Linked DNA regions of Caenorhabditis elegans. The protein of the gene in region 2 interacts with the protein of the main gene of each other region in a pairwise test. Each region holds a gene or a part of one and is shown on either strand. Other genes may lie near its edges.

Region 1 (10,007 bases), on a different chromosome or scaffold from region 2:
TGCCTTGGCGGCTGAGACTGAGAAGGTACTGGTATCTGGAAATATGGTTTACTAAATAGATAGGATATGAAAATAAACAAAGCTTGGTTTATTTGAAATGGAGCCTTAACTAATGTTATCACTTGGTTCATAAAAAAAGTTGGCGTAATTGTTTTTCAAATCAAGTTTTATCTGGCCTATAGGCAGGCAGGTAGGCATTTCCTGCTTTCATGGGAGTCAGAATTTTAGCTAGAACTTATGTAGTTATATAATATCTAAATATCGTCTTCAAGAAATCCTTACTCTCAGGACATTTAGATAATACGAAACTGTAAATAAATTTTCAAATCTTACCTTTTGACATGAAAATTGAGCACCAGCCCGAACAAAAGAGCGTGAGAAACCCTAAAACTGCCAGAAAAAGAAATAAAAAGAATGAGAACTGGGGAAATCGATGGATGGAAGAAAAAGGAAAAAGACTAGGAATACGAGAGAGTGTATAAGTTATAGAAACGCAGACAGATAGGCAATGGAAACTCTTGTGTTTGCCGAGAGAATGAGAGAAAGTGACGAATGTATGTTGTGACTAGACACACCTCGGACACATATTTCGACAAATCATTGAAAAAAGACACGTCATTCGAGCATGAGTCATCATAGCTTTCCAGAGCATCCTGTTATTTCTTCTTTTATTGTTTTAAATAGATAAAATATACAGTGTGGGAAAGTTCTATAGGACCCCCCCTAATTTGAAGGTTTGAGGAACTTCCGAAAATTTTTTTGAAAAACTGCTAATGCCATTCGTTTTTAAATTGAAAAAAACCTATATACATTTTTTTCCAGAAGTTTATCTCAAAAACTGAGGTCGCGCTGGAAAAAACGTCAAAATCCAGTGTGAAACTTCTATAGGACCCCCCGTTTTTTTTCACGATTTTTACTAAAATCAACAGATTTTGGAATTTTTGACAAAGCTCAAATCAAGTTTGAGTTAGAAATGAGTTCAGATAAGCAGTTTTGACTTTAAAAAATTAATACGAAATGTTCTCGTGGGATCTCCAGACTGGTTCTGATTCTTCCGATCTTTGATGTTCAAGTCTGTTTCAAGCTTCCTGGTGCTCTCGGTAATGCCAAAACTTGATAAACTCTCTTTAACAAGTTCCTACTAAAATTCCTAGCACACACACCATAAACATTTTTACGCCATCCCCAAGAAACCAGTCAGAAACAGCGTATTAACAAGTTGCAGTTATTTTTGATCAACAACAGAACATTCATATACTAAAATCAAGAAAGGATCAATAGTTAATCGGGTTTCCTTGTGTGCGGATGATCTCAATCAGTCTGTCCTCCATTGATCTGACCAAACTTTTCAGCTGGTTGTCCGGAATAGACTTCCAAGCGTCGAGAATTCCTTGCTTCAACGATGCAACTGTTGGGTAAGTCTTGTTCTGAGCATACACGATACGGACAAGAATCCCCCACAAATTTTCGATTGGATTGAGATCAGGACTTCGAGCTGGCCAATCAAGAAGGTTGATCTTCTTGAGCTTGAAATAGTCGCGGGTTGAGTTGCTCACATGGATTGTCGCATTATCCTGCTGAAATCTAAAGTCTTTTCTGGAGTAGTGACGAAGATATTTGGAGAGCTCCAGTTCCAAGACGTTCTGATAGTCAGTGCTGTTCATCTTGCTACTGACGAACTGTATCTCAAGCTTCTTCTTCTCCGTGAACGCTCCCCAAACCATCACCGTTCCTCCTCCAAAATTACGTCTCGAAAAAACCATTGGTTCCTTGCGCAAATCGCGCCAATAGTAGCGGCAACCGTCAGGCCCATCGAGATTGAATTTCTTTTCATCGGAGAAGACAACCTAAAACAATGATCCTAATTATTCACTCTTGCTTTTTTAAATTCTCACTTTACTCCAATTCGTTCCCATATTGTTCTTAGCAAATTCCAATCGCTTGAGTTTATGGTCTGCAGAGAGTAACGGAGCAGGGCGAAGTTTCTGACGAACGATTACACCAGATCGTTTGATGACATTGAGGATGGTCCTTTTTGAAGCAGACAATTGAAGCTCATTGCGAATATCTCTTGCCGTCTTACAGGAGTTGGAGGCAGCACGAATCACATTTCGTTCGTCACGCACGGAGAGAGCTTTGCGACGAGGAGCTCTTTTAGATGTACCGTAGCTCACCGGATCCTTCAGATACTCGCGAATACAGTGTCGAGAACGGGAAATTTTCCTACTCATTTCATGCAGGGACACATTGAGCAATTTCATAACATCCAGCTGAGCGCGTTCAGTGTCCGAAAGGGCAGATCCTCGAGGCATTGCAAGTTAGACTGCTTTCGAAGTAAGCTTTCCAGCCTCTATATGTGTGCCACAACACATGCCACAATTCCACATTTAATAATTCACGCAAAAAATAGTAAATAACATCTGTGAGGGACAATTTAACTTGAAATATTGGTCCCATGGAACCTTGTAATCAAAGAAAAACGATTTGATTCCTGATAAGCCTTCCATTGTTTCCTGCTGCATATTTTGCCAAATCAGCTTGACTACACAGTCGAAACATCTAAAGTGCGTGCTAGGAATTTTAGTAGGAACTTGTTAAAGAGAGTTTATCAAGTTTTTGCATTACCGAGAGCACCAGGAAGCTTGAAACAGACTTGAACATCAAAGATCGGAAGAATCAGAACCAGTCTGGAGATCCCACGAGAACATTTCGTATTAATTTTTAAAGTCAAAACTGCTTATCTGAACTCATTTCTAACTCAAACTTGATTTGAGCTTTGTCAAAAATTCCAAAATCTGTTGATTTTAGTAAAAATCGTGAAAAAAAACGGGGGGTCCTATAGAAGTTTCACACTGGATTTTGACGTTTTTTCCAGCGCGACCTCAGTTTTTGAGATAAACTTCTGGAAAAAAATGTATATAGGTTTTTTTCAATTTAAAAACGAACGGCATTAGCAGTTTTTCGAAAAAATTTTCGGAAGTTCCTCAAACCTTCAAATTAGGGGGGGTCCTATAGAACTTTCCCACACTGTATATTGCAAGATTTCCTATAATTATCTACATACTGACAAGTGCGAGAACCTTTTCTTGGCTCCAAAACGAAAAATCTATGAACAATATGTGGAAATTTTGTGGTAATTGTGACAGCAAATGTTTTTTAATGAAATTTAAAAAAAATTTCAATATTTTCCAACTTATCAAATTATATTACCCATATGCCAAAAATAGATGCCTGGTCTCGACACGACAAATGCTTGCTGGATTCAAAAGAATATGCGCCTTTAAGGGGTACTGTAATTTCAGACTTTCGTTGCAGAAAATTACAGTACTCCTGAAAGGCACATATTCTTTATCACTATTAAAAAATTAGTCGTCTCAACTTTTCCGATAAAGCTGCCGTAGGAATTTACATTTTCGTGTCTGCCTCTAGCCTTACTGCCTACATACCTGCCTACCGCCTATTTTTGCGAATTTTGCCGTTCGCTCGCAGATCCTGCTTTCAGGTTAATTAAATTTATCTCAAAATTATAATTTCGAAAAGTGGTTTTTTTTTTCATTTAAAAATACATCGAAATTATTTTTAGAATTAATTATTTCTCTAAAAATCTCACAAACATCTGAAAATCAGCATAAAGTTTAAAAAAAAACTTACCAATATTCTCATTTATTCCATTTGAATTTCCAGATGTCCCACATATATTAGGCTTCCGTGGTGGCGTTGGAGGTGGTAGCCTTACCATTATTCTCAATGTTGGAGCAACTATCTATCTGGGTGGAAAAGTGAATCCAAAGGGGGTCTTGAAGGGTTTATTTGCCTCCAACTTTTCTCCATATTTACTCAACTCAATTGTGCTGCTGCCTTCTTCGAAGTTTACAATCAAACATCCTTTAGCACTGTATTTTTTGTAGTCCACAATTGTATAAAAGCTACCAATTTATTACTAGTGAAGTATCTAATGATGATGCAAAAGAAAGATGAAAAACAAGAACCGAGTCAAATATACACAGAACACACGGACGGGGTGGGGGGAATAAGAATTATTGAATAAAATTTCGCAGTATTCGATGTGTGTATGTTTGGATCTTCTCATCCTCTGTCTGATCCGTTTCAAGTGGAAAATTTTGAAAAAAAAACCAAGTGTTTTGATACCCATTTTGTGTGCAATTTTGTTGTGGCTAGAATCATAATGGTTTCGATTTGAAGTGTACAAGAATCTGAAAATTGAAAAATCTATTGCTGAATAAAAACAACTATTTATTTGTTAGCTTTTTAATCGAAACTCAATTTTAAAGCAAAAATTAATATTTCTGGTTTTTTTTCGAAAGCTTTTTTCAAAAGAAAATAAATTCATAACTTTTTCGTTTTCAATTAATTAAAAAGTTTTTTTGAAGTAAATTTAATTTATTTTTCCTAATAAATAAAAACTCACTGTGAAATATAAATTAAAATTTACAGAAGACGAATAGTCTCCTGGACGATTTGATTTTCCATCATTTCATTTTGAACCTCAACAGGATCCGGTTGGCGTCGTCGCTGACGTGAATAAACCACAAAAACGAAGTAAAGAAATACAATAATGAAGATCGAAAAGCCGACTCGATCAAATACATCTGGAAAGTAGTACAGAAATATGCTCACTGCGACCATTTGACCTGTAATAAATATTGCGTTTTGACGTGTTTTTTTTTGAAAATTAGAATCACCTCCAAAAATCCAAAATAATGTTGAAGTTTGCAAATGAGTTTCCTGATCATCATCATCTTGTTCCAACAATCCATTATCAACAAGTAAATTGCATACCCATTGGCTAATCGTCAGAAGTGTGGCTGGCCGAAGTAGATCTCGAATTCGATCAGGACGGAAAAATGCCAATCCAATTCCAGAAAGAATTGGAACCATTGTTGATAAAAGTAAATAGATCTGTCCAACATTTCTGTCCTGCGCAGCTCTTCTTCTTGCTGTTGTAACATTCTCATCAACTACTGGAACACTTTCCGACGGCATTGGAGTTGTGTCACGTGGAGCTCTGACGGATCTTCGAGGTCTTCGTCGAAAACCATTATTGACAATTGGAGGAAGAGTTGCTATTCCTGGTCGTGTATATGGTGTTGTACTAATATGACAATGAACTATACTTCCTGGTTGAAGACCATATTCTTCTAGCGTTCGATGATCTTCTCTGAGAAGTTGGCCTGAAAAATTCAGTTAAAAATTATTTAGGCTTGAAGAAAAGACTTTTAATTTTTTCAAATAGTTTTTTTTAATATTCATTTTTCCATTTGATTTTCAGGATTATGAGCCAGTGGTATTAAATTTTGGGAATTCTATAAAACTTTCAACTGTGGCACGTTTTCACAATTTTTCCAATCTATCAAATTATCAACAAAATAAATTGCGGTCGATAGGTACATTTTTGTGTCTTTCAACGAATACTTTAGATATAGGCCAATAAAATTGTGTTCTATATTTTCAGAAATTTTATGGAATTCGCAAAAAATAATCGTTAGATCTTTGTTTTCACTTATTTTTTATCATTTTTGAAATATTTTTTAAAAAGCTTTTTTGCCAAATGCCAAACATTTGTTTTCATTAATTTTTTTAAACTTTAAAATACATTACTAACTGTTTTTACTTTACATAAAAAATTAAAGATACCTTGATAAATGAGCCGTATGACCTGATTCGCAAGATTTGTGAAATGATCTACTTTGAACTTTGCTACAGTATCCTCCAGTGATGCATACGTGTTTTTCTCGGTATCATTCATAAACTTTAGCTTTATCAAAATCTTCCCTTCTGATGGTCCTTCGATTACTGGAAATTCGGATTCTTTAGTTTCTTGAAGAACTTGCTCCGGTTGAGCTTCTACTTCTTGATCATCCAGTGGCGGATCCTCATTTTGCTCAACTTCGACTTGCTCAATTTCTTCAATAGGACCTCCTCTATCAATTTCAATTTCAGTTTCTTCATCATCATCTTGACCTTCTTCTTCTTCATGATCTTCTATTATTGCATCATCTGAACTATCGTCATCGTCATCCTCTTCATCATCTTCTTCCTGTTGATCTATCACAATATCTTCTGTAAGCTCTGGTGTATCAGCGAACACTTGATTTGTTGGAGGCTGAGTTTGTGTTACATTTGACGTTCTTGTTGAAAGATGATGTTGCATATCCGGGTTTATTGCTGAAAATCCATACATTTTTAATTTTCAGGCGGGGATTTTACTTTTAATTATAAAAAAGGCCGGAATGACCGAATGTAACTGTTAAAAAATTAAGAAACTGATTCTAATTTTTTAAATGAATTAGTTTCATCTCTTCTCTAATTTTCAGGCTTTTCCTACAAAAAATTGAAAATAAATATTAAATTGTCGATTTTATGTCATATTTGAAGTTTTAGCTAAAATTGTTCGGGTAAAGTTTCGAAAAAAAGCAATATGAAAAACTTACATGGAGTCGTATACGTAACGTCTGTAGTAACGTAATCATGTCGTGAAGAATTTTCCTGAACCAAAATAAATTATTTTAAAATCAATTTTTTTTCTTCATTTACGCTGGGTCTCGACTCATCAACTCGAGTATTTCCAGATCGTTCTGTTGGTGGACGAAGTTGAGGCCTGTACGTTCGAGACATCAAAGATGCGTCGTCTCTGGAAAAATACAGAATTTTTGAATGTTTTAAACCTTAAATTAAACTTTTTAAAAACTAACCCTCTAGCTAAAATTGCTATCGCCGCTGCAGCAGCATACTGACTATCCCTTGTGGCGTCAGGCACGTGACCAGCACTCGGTGGCGGCATTTCAATGTCCCATAATGTTATTAGGTCAACGTCTGGTGATCTGGAATTGGAAATATTAAACATTTGAATACATTTTTAAAAGTAAACCTTGCAGGAGCTGGTGAATCAATAACCGTATTCGGCGACTGTATCACAATATTTGTATCAGAAATTGCCACTCTTTGCTCTCCTTGAATTCGTGGAGCTCTTGCCCTCATTCGTTGAACTAATCGTTCCCATGTGACGGGCGGTGTGAACTCTTGACCGAGATGAAGAACCTGTATTTTGAAGTTTAGAAATTTATTCGAAATTTTCCAATAGTGTTTTTCGTTTTTTTTTTCTTTTAATATTTAAATAAAATTACCTGCACCATCCTCCTAGTTGTCCAAGTGTGCATTTCTACAACAAATAAGTTATAATATAAAGGCCTTCGAGCAGAGATTTGATATGATAAAAGTGCACATGCTATGATGATTAATATTGCGACGACTGTGCTTAGCTGAAAATAGTTTTTTTTAGATTTGAAGTTAAACAATTTCAATTTGACACTTTTTCATAACAATGAAAAAATGGGAAAAGGGTTCAAAAAATCAATAAATGTTCAACTTACCTCTAAATATTCGAGTGCAGATTTAACAATTAATGCATTCATTTTTGTCTAGTTGTGTTGTCTGGAATAATGAAGAATAAAGTGAAGAATAATATGAAATCAGATGATGCTTGAGAGACTGAGAGAAATAAAGAGAAGCGTGTTGGTTAAAATGTTCCTTGGCGCAGAGAATCGATACGTGAAAGCGCACTAATCGACGGGCAATTGCACGCTTTTTTAGGAAAACAACCTTTTTGTTAAATTTTATAAAAAGAATTTAAAATTTGTTTTTTCAGAAATTATTTTTGTGAAAAAAAACTATTTAGCCTGTAAGAAAGTAGTATTTATAAAGAGGCGAAATGAGAGAGTAGATTAGAAAAAGAATTCGAAAGAAGATAAGAATCGAAAAAGGTGTTGAGTGAAGTGAAAAAAGAAAGGAAAAATGAATTAATTGTATTTGTTGTGATATTTGTGATTTTGCTATTAATTTATGTACCTCAAAATGAATTTGGCAAACTTTTAAACGAAAAGTATTCGAATTAGAGAAAAACTTTTGAGAAAAAGTGGGAAAAAACTAGAAAAATAACAATGGAACAGATCTTTTCGTTAAAAAAAATTTAATTTCCATTTCTCCCTTCCAGCTGGTTATTGCAAACGCTGCGAGACCCAACGTCAGACATACGCTTATGTGCCTTTAATACCGTAGTACACCCGATAAGCGCGAGAGTTTATTTTATTTATCAAAACTTTTTTTTCAACATTTTTCATCAGAATATCTTGATTTTATTTGATATTTCCTCGATTTTTTGTATAAATATACTAAAATAACAAAAGACTAACAAAATTTGCATTCCTCTACGCTTAAAATTTACTTAACCAACGAAATAATTTGAGATAAACGAGAAAATGTGTAAAATATTTAGGAGTTTAATATTATATTTATTTTGAACCACCGAGAAATGTTTGATACATTTTTGAGAAGTCTTAATACGAAATTCGTTTATTTTGGCACATATTGAGCCTATACAAGCGCTAAACCCAGAACCGTTCGTCCTCCTTCAAATAACTTTCTCTCAGCTCAAATTAAACTGCCCGTAATTTTTCCCATCCTGCCTTTTTCCAAACCCATACCACGTTTTCCTGTTCAATTTGCACCTCGTGTCTGTAAAATTAGTTATCTACCCGTAGCCTACATAGAGAATTTATCAAGGTACAAAGTCCAGACGGACGGACGGGCGGCGCATGGGAGGCCACAACAGCCAGGTTTTCTTGTTGTGTTCGTCTCGTCTCCTCCTCTCATCACTTATTATCTTGTGTGTTGGTGACCTACACTATATCTATCGATTGTGTATTTGTTTTCTAGTTTGATTATTTCTTTTTGGATTTTAACATTTTGAACTTTCTTTCTTCAGCTTTTAAGAATTTTTTTTTGTGAACTTTGTAGTATATATTTTTTTCTTTTCTGATCGGCCACGTTTCTTTTTTTTAAATGTTTCTCTAAATTCTTGGTTTTTCAATGTAGAAATTATTTAAATTCATTTCATTTTTTGATCCGTTGCTTTTGTTCTGCTGTCGTTTCAAATAGAGTAAGTCTGGTTTAATATTCTCAAAAATCAAGAAAGGGTGTAAAATTATTCTGCTGTGTTCTTTCAAAGGAGAGGGAAAATACTTTGTCCCCTTCTGTCCGTAGGCAATGATGAAATGATAAGAGTACACGTAGCGAACCAAATTTGATTCCATATTTGTTTTTTGTTCTCTTTCGTACGTTAAATTATTTTCTTGAACGCATTTTTTGTTCTTTGGAGATTTATTCTCAAAAATAAACCACCTCCAAAATTAAATCTGATTTCTTTTCAGAAGATGCTCCGCGCAGTTAGCACTTCGTTCGGGACTGCTCGTGCCGCTTCGGCAGTCGCCAAGAAAAATATGCCAAATATTGTACTTGTCGATGCAGTTCGTACTCCATTTGTCGTTTCTGGAACTGTTTTCAAGGATTTAATGGCTGTTGACTTACAGAAAGAAGCTATCAAGGGTTTGTATAGAAATTTGTAAATAAGGAAAATTAATTTTTCATTTTTCAGCACTAGTGGAGAAGACAAAGCTGCCATATGAACAACTCGATCACATTATTTGTGGAACAGTTATTCAAGAATGCAAGACCAGTAACATTGCTAGAGAAGCTGCTCTTCTCGCTGGTGTTCCAGATAAGATCCCAGCTCACACTGTCACTCTTGCATGCATCTCATCAAATGTCGCAATGACCACTGGAATGGGAATGCTCGCCACTGGAAATGCAAATGCAATCATCGCCGGAGGAGTCGAATTGTTGTCTGATGTGCCAATTCGTTACAATCGAAACGCCAGAAAGGCTATGTTGGGAATGAATAAAGCAAAAGATGTTCCATCGAAGTTGAAGATTGGAGGACAAATTGTCAAAAATTTGCTTTCTCCTGAACTGCCAGCGGTCGCTGAGTTCTCAACTGGTGAGACAATGGGACACAGTGGAGACAGACTTGCTGCCGCGTTCAATGTTTCTAGAAGGTAATTTTCCTTAAATTTCTGGGAAATTAATTAATGTCTACTTATTTCTATTTTCAGAGAACAAGACGAATTCGCAATCCGCTCCCACACTCTTGC
Region 2 (10,007 bases):
CTATTGGTCTGATCATTTTCTTACCGTAATTTCATAAGTTTCACCTCCGTTTTTGTCACTTTTTTACATTATTGAACATTCACAACATTCCTACCCTGTCTTACATCCCCAATGTTTTATTCGACAAGTGTATTTTTCCATAGTCATACCCCTCAAGCTTTGTTTAATTATTTTTCTTTTCTTTTTAGTTTATAATGTTTTCCAACACTACTCGAATAATCCCTGTAAGAGTTATCTAAACTGCTGAGATTTGTCTGCTTATACCCCATAATCAGTTGCTAACTTGGAATTTTTCTCCCTTTCTTCACATATTTTGCACATTTAAACCTTCTTAATTTTTAAAAAATTCCCATGAATATCCCATTATTTGCAATAACTATAGTTTCAAATGACTTACTGTTTACTGTGAGAAAATTTTGAATTTGAAGGCGCCGGCGGCATTGGCAAATGCAGTTGCGCAACAGGTGCATGGGAAACTGAAAAAGCAGCTTCCATAAAATTTCAAATCCTGTAGCAAACCCTATTTTTTAAGCCAAATAAAGCACGTAATGATTTTGGAATTCAAGTTTACTAATGAAATATCATAATGTAATGTGAGTCAGGAGGAAAATCATTTTCGCAACTTGCAGAGATCAAGGTACAAATCCAGCTAATTAGTAATATCATGTGAGAGACTTTATTATAAGCCAACTATATACTCGGGTGTCCGGTGGACTATTTCATCAGATAAACTAAGGGATATTCTCTACCTTTTATATATCCACACGTTTCAAAAATACTCAACCTATGTTGTTCTGATCTCATTTGTCTCAGCTAACATATCACATTGTAGGCGGAGTAGTGGTGTTAAAATAACCAAATATCAGTGTAGTAAAAATGTTCTATTAAACTTTTGGAATTTTCTTATTTTTTTATTTTGTTTCATTTTGTTTCAAAAAGTGCCAATTACTGAGTTTTTGGCACTTTAAAAAAACTATAGCATTGTCGCTTGTTTGAACCAGTATAATATTTGGATATTAAATATTCGAAGGTAATTATTAATTACATCTGACCACACTTTAAAATAATTTTTTTTACAATGGAAAAAATTTACTATTTCATCTGGTTATTTTGGCACCATAAGAGTGGTTTTTAAAATATTCCCCACTGGCGCTGCTCTACCTTTAATGAAGCGTTGAAGAGGATAAAAACTGCAATGTGGCATTTTTTTGAACAATTGCAGATCTAGTGCCTATTTCGTGCCTACCAGCTAGCCTATAAATTCACACATTTCTTGTTAAAATCCACGTTAGAATTATTTTTTTTTGTGGTGAATAATTCAGGGCAAGATTGTCAGAGTTTTGTTACCATGCCTATGATGTAACATTTTTTTTTCAAAAACAAAACCGCTCACACTCAAAGTTATGCAACTCAATGTGAATTGCTTTTATGGAAAGGTTACTAACCAACCTTCGTGTTGGCGATTTTGGAAATAGATTACTTGATCCTATTTCTGAACAAAATATTGATAAAGCCTAAAATTAAACTGAAATGGCCGTACTCTTAAAGGTGGAGTAGCGAATTTTTAGACGTTGTTTTTTTAATCCCACAGTGGCCCAAAACTATCGAATTTTGTAATAAGGGGGTTTTATAATTTTTCAAAAAAAATTGTTATGAGAACCACTAGGAATTATTCATTTAAATTTTTAGATACAATACTTCCCATCGGCGTTCCCAATCCAAATTGCGCAACACAGCCAGCGGCGTCTTTTCCAACTACGCAACCTTTTACTGTCTGAATTTTTGACAATGGGAAACAACATTTTCTGAAGTCAAAGAAAGTACCGCTTTTTTAATTTGTGTACTTTTTTTGAACTTACGGTAATTTCAAAAAGGCGGAACCTGAGACTAGAAATGGGCGGGGCCGCCAGGCTGTATAAAAAGCCTTTACTTCAAGCTCCAGATTAAGTCCGAGCCAAAACACGGGCCTTATTACTTTATAGCTACATTTATTCTTACTGTCCTCGAATACAAACTGGCGGTTTGCATTCACTTACATTTATAAGACAAAAATGCAAGTGATACCAGACCGCTAGTTTGTAAAAGGGATAATTTTATGTGAAATTCACTAAATCTATGTATAAGGCAAATAAATATGTATTAGAAATTAATAGTTCTGCAGAAAAACTACTTCAATAGAGTATACAAAAAAGCTCCATCTCAGATTTTTTTACGAATTGAAAAAAAACAGATAACCGAAAATTTAACCGAAAAAAATTTTTTCAAATAACTCCAAATTTTCCCCTGATCCCGAATACCGGTGTGAAAAATTCAAAAAAAAAGTTCCTTGATTTTATATTCGAGCTTGAAATCGCAATTTTCATTTGTGCCCCGGATTCTTTTTTTAAATACGCGCCAAAATGCATTCTCATTGGAGCGCACTTGCATCACTTAATTTTCTCCGTATATGGTTACTTGTTTCAGTTTTTCAGCTATTGTCATCCAATTTTATGAAATTAAAATGTTCAATTGACACAAAAGAATATATTTTTCAAAAAAAAAACTATAAAATACGACAAAAATGGATGAAAATAGCTGAAAAACTGAAAAAAGTAACCATATAGGGAGAAAAGTAAAATGAGGCAAACACCATCTATTTTCATTTTCTGCATTTTCTTTCAGAAGATTCTGCAATATTCCAGAATTTTTTTCAAAATTTTCAAAATTTCCATTTACAAAGAGCTTTTTCGAAAATAGTTTTGCTTAGAAATGGCCTGGGTTCTACTCTGTTTTCCGAAGCTACAGTAATTCTACAGTACATTTACAGTACCTTTTAAGTATCAAAGTTTTTTAATTGAAATTGTAGCTCAAATTCATAAGCTTCTAATAATGCCGTTGAAAAATTACAACAAGGTAGGTTTTCAAAAAAAAAGAAAAGAAATCGTTCTGAAAAAGTTATTGCAAGTATATTTTATTGAAAAAAAAACAAATATACATATATAGAGAACATGCAAAATTAGAAAAAAAAACTAGAATTTTGTTAATAATAATTGAATGCAAATGCAAAAATGTAGTAAATCAAACATAGGCGGAATAAGGAGTGTGATCCCAGTCAAAGAACATTTGTGGCCGTGGCTTCTCGGTATACTGAAAAAATTTTTTGAGTTTGCCAAAAATGTTCTCATAATAATTGAATTCCCCAGCAAAGTTGTTTCTCGGAAAAGTTGAGTTTCCCGCCAAAATTTTTTTTGTAAGAAAATTTGAATTTCCGGCAAAATTGACGAGAAAATTGTCTTTCGAGAGGCCGGGTGTTTGTAAAATTGAATAGGTGGTAGGCAGGCACTCATGCAGGCAAATAAGTAGGTTTTTTTCAAATTGTGAAATCTTACCGGTCTATATTGCAAAATCTTCTTTGTGAAAAACGACTGAACATCTGAATCCGTGATTTCTTGTACAAGCCTATCCACAACTAACGGGTTATCAATGAGCGCGATTTTTTTGAAAACCACGTCAATTTCGCTGAAAGTCATTCACTAGAATATAGTTAGCTTCCCGAAAAGTCTAGATTACCTGTAATTCTGACTGTGAAGTAGGTAGCAAAGTTGGACCAACAACTCGGTGTCATATATTTCGTTTTGGAAGGCTTCTGGAAATATTTTAGTTTAGAGTTTACGGGTTTCATTTAAATAAATTTTTCTTACCACTATTTAAATACTTGTGAACTTCCCGTTTAACCCACGGGAAGACGAGGCGGTCCGAGAAATATACTAGTGGTGTGATGTTATGTTCTGAAAAATTAAGGGGGTTTTCAAGTTTACAAGTATTGTGAATAAATTTAGAATTTAAATTGAAGGTGGATTCACCCAAGTGTGGAAAATTCCAAAACTGTAGTAGTACTTTAAAAATAACTCAGGTTCTGTTACATAAAAATTTGGAAGTGTTTCAAATATGTTTTACTGTACATTCAAAGGTGATGTACCGAAATCTGGGAAATATTCTTAAATGACTCCAAATTTTTCCCTTAATCTGAATATCTAATTTAAAAAATTTTAAAAAAATTCCCTGATTTTTTTATTGAGAATGAAATCGCGAATTTCATTTACGCCCCCCCCCCCCCCCATGAGATTTTTCAAATGCGAAAAAAAATAGCTGAAAACTGAGAGAAATAAAAATTGATGCAAAAAATCGAATGTGGCAACTGCGCTCCAATGAGAATTTATTTTGGCGCGCATTTGAAAAATAACTTGGGTGCACAATTGAAAATCGCGATTTCAAGCTCAAATATAAAATCAGGGATTTTTTTTTCGAATTTTTTCACTCAAATATTCGGAATCAGGGGAAAATTTGGAGTCATTTAAGAATATTTCCCAGATTTCGGTACTCCACCTTTAAAACTTGGAACCGGTTTTTTAAAATTATTTTTTTGAGAACAAAATTCACATGCTGTCAGAATATTCGGAATATTTTTGAAATTTTAGCTGAATTTTTTGAAGAAAAACGAAAAATTTTGGAGTTGCTTTGTGCACAAAATGCTTCATATTACCATATTTGAGAATAAAATAAAAAATTAAAATTTGCAAGAAATCAACTCAAAATGGCAAAATTTAAAACATGTTGGAAAACGTAAAAATATATTTTTGAGTAACAAAATTGGATTTTGATATAAACGAAAAATAAAACAGTGTAATTTTCTACCTTTGAAATATAAAAACTTGAAGAAAAATAATATTTATACAGATACTTAAAAATTAATTCATAAATAATTTGTTTTAAATTTATTTAAAAACACTGAGTCACAATAATATTCAGTCAAAAAAAGCTAACTTACGATTAATAGTTCTGTCAAATTCAAAACCATCTGGGCACACATATGACAGAAAAACTACTAGATCCTCTGCAAAAACATCATTCAAATTAACTTTCTCAGCTGTCATTTCGGAGTAGAAGCCAGTGCGTAGTCTGCAAAATTTACATTTCTTTTTTTTTTCAGAAAAAAACGATGTTTTATTAAACTTACATATGAAAATACTCGGAGAGCTCTGCCAGGTAGTTGAGGTTCACGTAAATTGTGTCGGATTGAGTATTGATTTGGAATTTCCGAAGAGCAGTTTCAGTGGAGAACATGTGCATTTTTTGTTGAGTCATTTTCCTAAAAAAAATGTTTTGAATCAGTGGTGTGAGAAAATTAAAAAAAATATAGATAAAACTGAATCAAGAAAAAGTTTTTTTTTCGCCAAGAAAAAAAATACAAAAAAAGGAAAAAACACGTGGTGCCAGGCTGTCCCATCACGGTTTGATCTACGAAATGTGCGGTAATTTTTTGCGAAAATATATGTGACGTCAGCACGTTCTTAACCATGCAAAATCAGTTGAGAACTCTGTATCGGAGAAATCCCGCATTTTTTGGAGATCTACGTAGATCAAGCCAAAATGAGACAATCTGACACCACGAGAACAACGAAATAAAAAACAGTTTGAAATTGTTATTTTGATTAAATTTCCACTTTTAATTTTTTTTTTCAAATTATAGGTAAAATTTTAGTCTGAACAAAAAAAACTGTTCCGAAATTTGGACTTTAAGAAATGAAAAAAAAAATGTGTTTGCCTGATACGTTATCAGTCGGGTACGCTTAAAACAATAGCCTCAAAAAAATAGAGAATAAAGTCTCAAAAGTTTGTTTGTTTTTCCGCCTCCCCCCCCCCCTCCCCCAACTTATGATGATATTACATCAGTCTCTGAAATGTCCCACCTCCCTCCCCTATTTTCTCTTTCTGTGAACAATAGAAATCCGGAATTTCTGTCGTCAGATGATGATAGACATCTAACTTCTTACACTAAACGACTAGACACCACGGGTGTTCGTTACGGAGAGTGATGTAATTGGGGAGTCTTTTTTTTGATAGCTCATGTATGTATATATATCGGTGGTTTTTGGATATATTTTTAAAGATGAAGTCGCGCTAGTAGGAATTTTGTTTAAATACACTTGTAATAACCCAAAATGACCAAATATCATAATAAAACACTCAGTTTTGGCAAATTTCCAAAATTTTAAATAAATATTTGCTTTTGAGGAAATCCAAAGCAATCTCGCATGTTCCAACCCCTACAATGTTTTAATACAAATAATTGAATCAGAATTAAAGTTTTAAAATATAGGAAAAAAAATTTTTTTTTTTGGTCGACTTCAAAAATTATGAGTGGCAAAAACTGAGTAATTGTCACTTTTTGACAGTAAATAAAAAAATTTCAAAAAAGGCTTGAAAACTTTTATAATGATATTCGGTCATTTTGGGATCATAGAAGTGGTTCTTAACAATATCCCCACAGGCGCACTCCACCTTTAAAAAATTGTTCAAAGTAAAATTGTGGGTGTTAAAATTTCTAGGGAAAGCTTTTTTAAGGCATTTTTTTTAACTCTACACATTATAAAAATTGTTAGAAATTAGCAGAAAAACCCGAATTAGAGCCAAGAATTTACCGACATAAATTCAGAATTAAAAGCAATTGAAACAGTCAAATATCTGTGAAAAACTGTATTAAAAAACCGCGAATTCTAATTTTCTAATTAAGAAAGTGAGAAATAGAAAAACTAAAAACTAAAAAAAAATTATTTTTAATTTTTAAAATTAAAAAAAAACCAACTTTAACTATGGAACTCCGAGTTCACATTTTCATGAAAAAGTGATTATTTTGTCATTTTCAAAGTATTTAAAAAAACCTTTTTTGGCTAAATTTTTTTTTCATTTTGAAATCGCGAAATTTTTTTGAAAACATTTTTTCGTTCAATTTTTTTTTCTTTTTTTTAAATTCAAATTTTATTAAGCGTATGCGAAAAATTAAATATGTTGCATTTTAAACCTTGAAACAATTTTTCAAATTAGAAAAAAGGTTGTTGTTAAATAAAACTTAAAAATCAAAACAAAAACTTGTGATCCAAAAAAACGAAAACCAGATAAACATCAATATTTTTCCACACGTTTTGTTTTTTAAAGATCTATTATTAGTCGGTCAAAATCCACAAAACAAGGATCACCATTGGAAAATAAAATAGAAGAAAACAAAAATTGTTCATTGCTCCCTCCTAGATCAGTTATCACTGAACTCTTGCACTTGGCTGTATATTTCCGGGTGCAACGAATCACTAGTCTGGTGGTCATTGTAAAATCCCATGAAATCAGCTGCAACGGGGGTTTAGAGAAAGATTGCTATCTTTCTTATCACTTGATGAGAGAACGTTCAAAATGACGTGGAGAGTGGAGAACATGATTCTCACGAGACTTTTCCGTGAGTTTAGCAGGGGGAAATAATGATGACTGGACTAGATTTTGTGGTGTCTTACAATACTTGTTAAAAAATGATAAATAAATAAAAATTAGGTTCCAGACGTTGCGACACCGAGAAGTTGAAAAAAAACTGAATTCAGATAGCAGGAAGACTTATTTTCTTTATTTGAAACTACATGAATTTGAATTAAAAGTACATTTTATTTAAAAAAAAAAAGGAAAATTAATATTCTGCCGTTCCTGGTGCCAATCTCGCCACTTTTATGTTCTTTTTTTCGCTATGCTTTTTCCATCCAATATCTGAAATTTTTACAATTATAACATGAAGCTTGACTTTTAAAAAACTTACTTGCTCCGATAGAGTCTGGGCCATTATCCCGATAGAATTTGTATCGAAACAAGTTCACAACAAATTGGGGCATGAGGTGTGCTCATTGAAGAAGAATCGGTAGAAGTCTGAAAAGAATGATTTGAAGATAGAGTAGCGCCGGTGAGGTCCTAGTTGGCTTAAATTGATTCAAAAAATTCTAGATTTTTTTATAATTTTTTAAAGTCAAAGTTTTGGCAATTTTCAAATTGTTGAAAGCATGAGCTTTTAAGAAAATCGTGAAAAATTGTTTTTTTGGGGTTTGAGGACAAAAGCCCGGAAAGTGAAATAAGGTACTTACCTAGAGTTTGATAACTTCTCCACTCAATCAATCGCTCAGCATTTAGTATCAGCTTGCGGCTACTTTCGTTGAGCCGCTTCCTCCTGATCTTCCATGTTCTCCTGCTGAACCACTGAACTCCTTCATTTCTCTTCATTTTTTCTCAGTGCGACTCGTGTTGCTCGAAGGAACTGGCGCTGGAGTCTATCAGAGTTTTCAAAAAAGTTAGTATTTTTTGGTTGAGCCGCTTCCTCCTGATCTTCCTTGATCTCCTGCCGAATCACTCAAAAGGAACGAGACTGATTGTTGTTCTCCCGGCGAAACTGTAGTCCTTGGAACTTTTAGGTTTTCCTCCTCAATTGAGCACAGTCAAGATCCATAGATTCCTCTAGGTATTCCACATTTTCAGCTTGAGCATCGTGATGGTTGTTTGACGCCAAAGAAGTTTCCATCGCCTTTGGAGTGTTGGGACCACAAAGTGCTACAACTTTCTTTTTTTTCCTCAGCCAGACTCGTGCTGTTGGAAAGCAACGACAGTTTTCTTCCTCAATTTCTTGAGCACAGTCAAGTTCCATGCATTCCTCTAGGTTTTCCACATTGGCGCTTGAGTCCATCTAAGTTAGGCTTCTTTGGTTGATCCGCTTCCTACTGCTCTTCCTTGATCTCCTGCTTGATCACTTTGAAGGAACAAGTCGGTCTCATCCACTTCCTCCATTTTGTCTCAGCCAGACTCGTGTTGTTTGACACAAGGAAGTTTCCTGAAGAGCGAGGGGTAGCACAGGAAGAGTACCACCAGATTTGGCAGAGGCGTTGTGGTCTTGGTTGAGCATTCTGTAAACTTGAAAAAATTCATTCAATATAACAAGTAATGGTTTGATAATGAAGAAAAAACTACCATGAAACACAAAAAAAAATTCGATAAAGAAGTGGAAACTAGCTAATAAGAATAAAGAAAGAATGCAAGAAGCAGTGAGCAAATGCCTGTCGGACCCCACATCCACAAACAGAATGTAGAGCGCGTTAAAACAAAAAAGAGAAAAAAAAGCTCGAAAATAAAAGAAACTCCGGTTTTTATACTGGCTGGAAGGGAGTGAGGCCGGCGGCGACGCACACTCAAAATGAGAATACGCGCGCGCGCGGTGGGTCAAAACAAAAGAAATGGATCAAAAGCTTATAAGTCTAGACAGCGATCTCGGTGAAAAGTGAGCGACGCGGCGACTTCAGATTGGCAACGGTTTTATAGAAGAGGGTCACCACCAGTGACCCGAGTAAGATAAAAAATGGTTGTGAATGCAGAATGTTGCAGTGCAGCTGCTGTCGTCAGTGTAATGTAAACATAGTAGTAAAGCCATTTTTTCCTACGCACCCAGATGATTCCTTTTAGTTGGAAAGAAAGAGAGAAAGTTCGAATATTATAATCTAAAAAATAATAAAATTAAAATTCAGCTAATTTCACTCGGTATATTAAAAATTCATATTTACTTTTATTGTTTTTTTAACGGGCAATTCAAATATCTGTAGTGTTGAGTTTTGTATTATATTTTGGTGAAATATGTACTGCAAAATACAAGAAATTAATTAGGTTCATTCATAGAGAACACTTTAAAAATCTAGGAAACGGTAAATAAACTCCCAAGAATTACAAGTATCATTATAACAAAAATTATTCTTTCTGGCCACAGCATTTCCTCTATCGTTTCCATTTCTGCATCAATCACATCAGCCATCCCGAATGTCCTTAACAACTGAAAAAAAACAGTTAAAAATTCTAATGAAAAATTCTTTCTTAGGGTGAAAAATACGTTCTGGGTAAAAAATCATAACGTTTTTCCTATCGATTTTCCCGATTTTTTGGGAACTCGTTTTTCAGGCTCTCGCCTGTCCAATGGTGCACCTTGTCAGCTTTTATCTGAGTTTTGATAGGTGGATTTCGCATAAATTGGGCAAACATGCAAGAATTGAAAAAAAAAACCATTAAAAATGTTTTCGAATTTTTTTTTGTTGGACGAACTTTATTGATTTTTCATACAACTTTAAAAAAAAAGACCTAACATAGTCTAAGGAAACTTAGAACACACAAATCATTCGAATTTG

Evidence for each region.
Region 1: the proteins of F56C3.9 (region 2) and B0303.7 interact in a two-hybrid assay, tested with the Caenorhabditis elegans proteins (one large-scale study listed by BioGRID).

The regions. Positions count from the first base shown.
Region 1 is NC_003281.10:8,687,387-8,697,393, reverse strand, and holds the start of B0303.7 (SH3 domain-containing protein), read right to left. Parts: upstream 3,773-10,007; 5' UTR 3,740-3,772; coding exon 3,652-3,739; intron 450-3,651; exon of another isoform or gene 344-449; coding exon of another isoform or gene 334-343; intron 36-333; coding exon 1-35. Other genes in the region: B0303.4 (transmembrane and ubiquitin-like domain-containing family 1 protein), read right to left, coding at 4,450-4,652, 4,704-5,192, 5,656-6,186, 6,453-6,507, 6,556-6,652, 6,714-6,842, 6,890-7,059, 7,146-7,280 and 1 more; hadb-1 (putative 3-ketoacyl-CoA thiolase), read left to right, coding at 9,231-9,402, 9,452-9,911, 9,969-10,007.
Region 2 is NC_003284.9:1,388,864-1,398,870, forward strand, and holds F56C3.9 (BTB domain-containing protein), read right to left. Parts: upstream 5,129-10,007; 5' UTR 5,125-5,128; coding exon 4,997-5,124; intron 4,939-4,996; coding exon 4,808-4,938; intron 3,768-4,807; coding exon 3,681-3,767; intron 3,626-3,680; coding exon 3,550-3,625; intron 3,499-3,549; coding exon 3,369-3,498; intron 3,127-3,368; coding exon 3,058-3,126; 3' UTR 2,937-3,057; downstream 1-2,936. Other genes in the region: H39E20.1 (Transposase), read right to left, coding at 7,490-7,566, 7,616-7,688; ZK402.5 (SPK domain-containing protein), read right to left, coding at 9,961-10,007.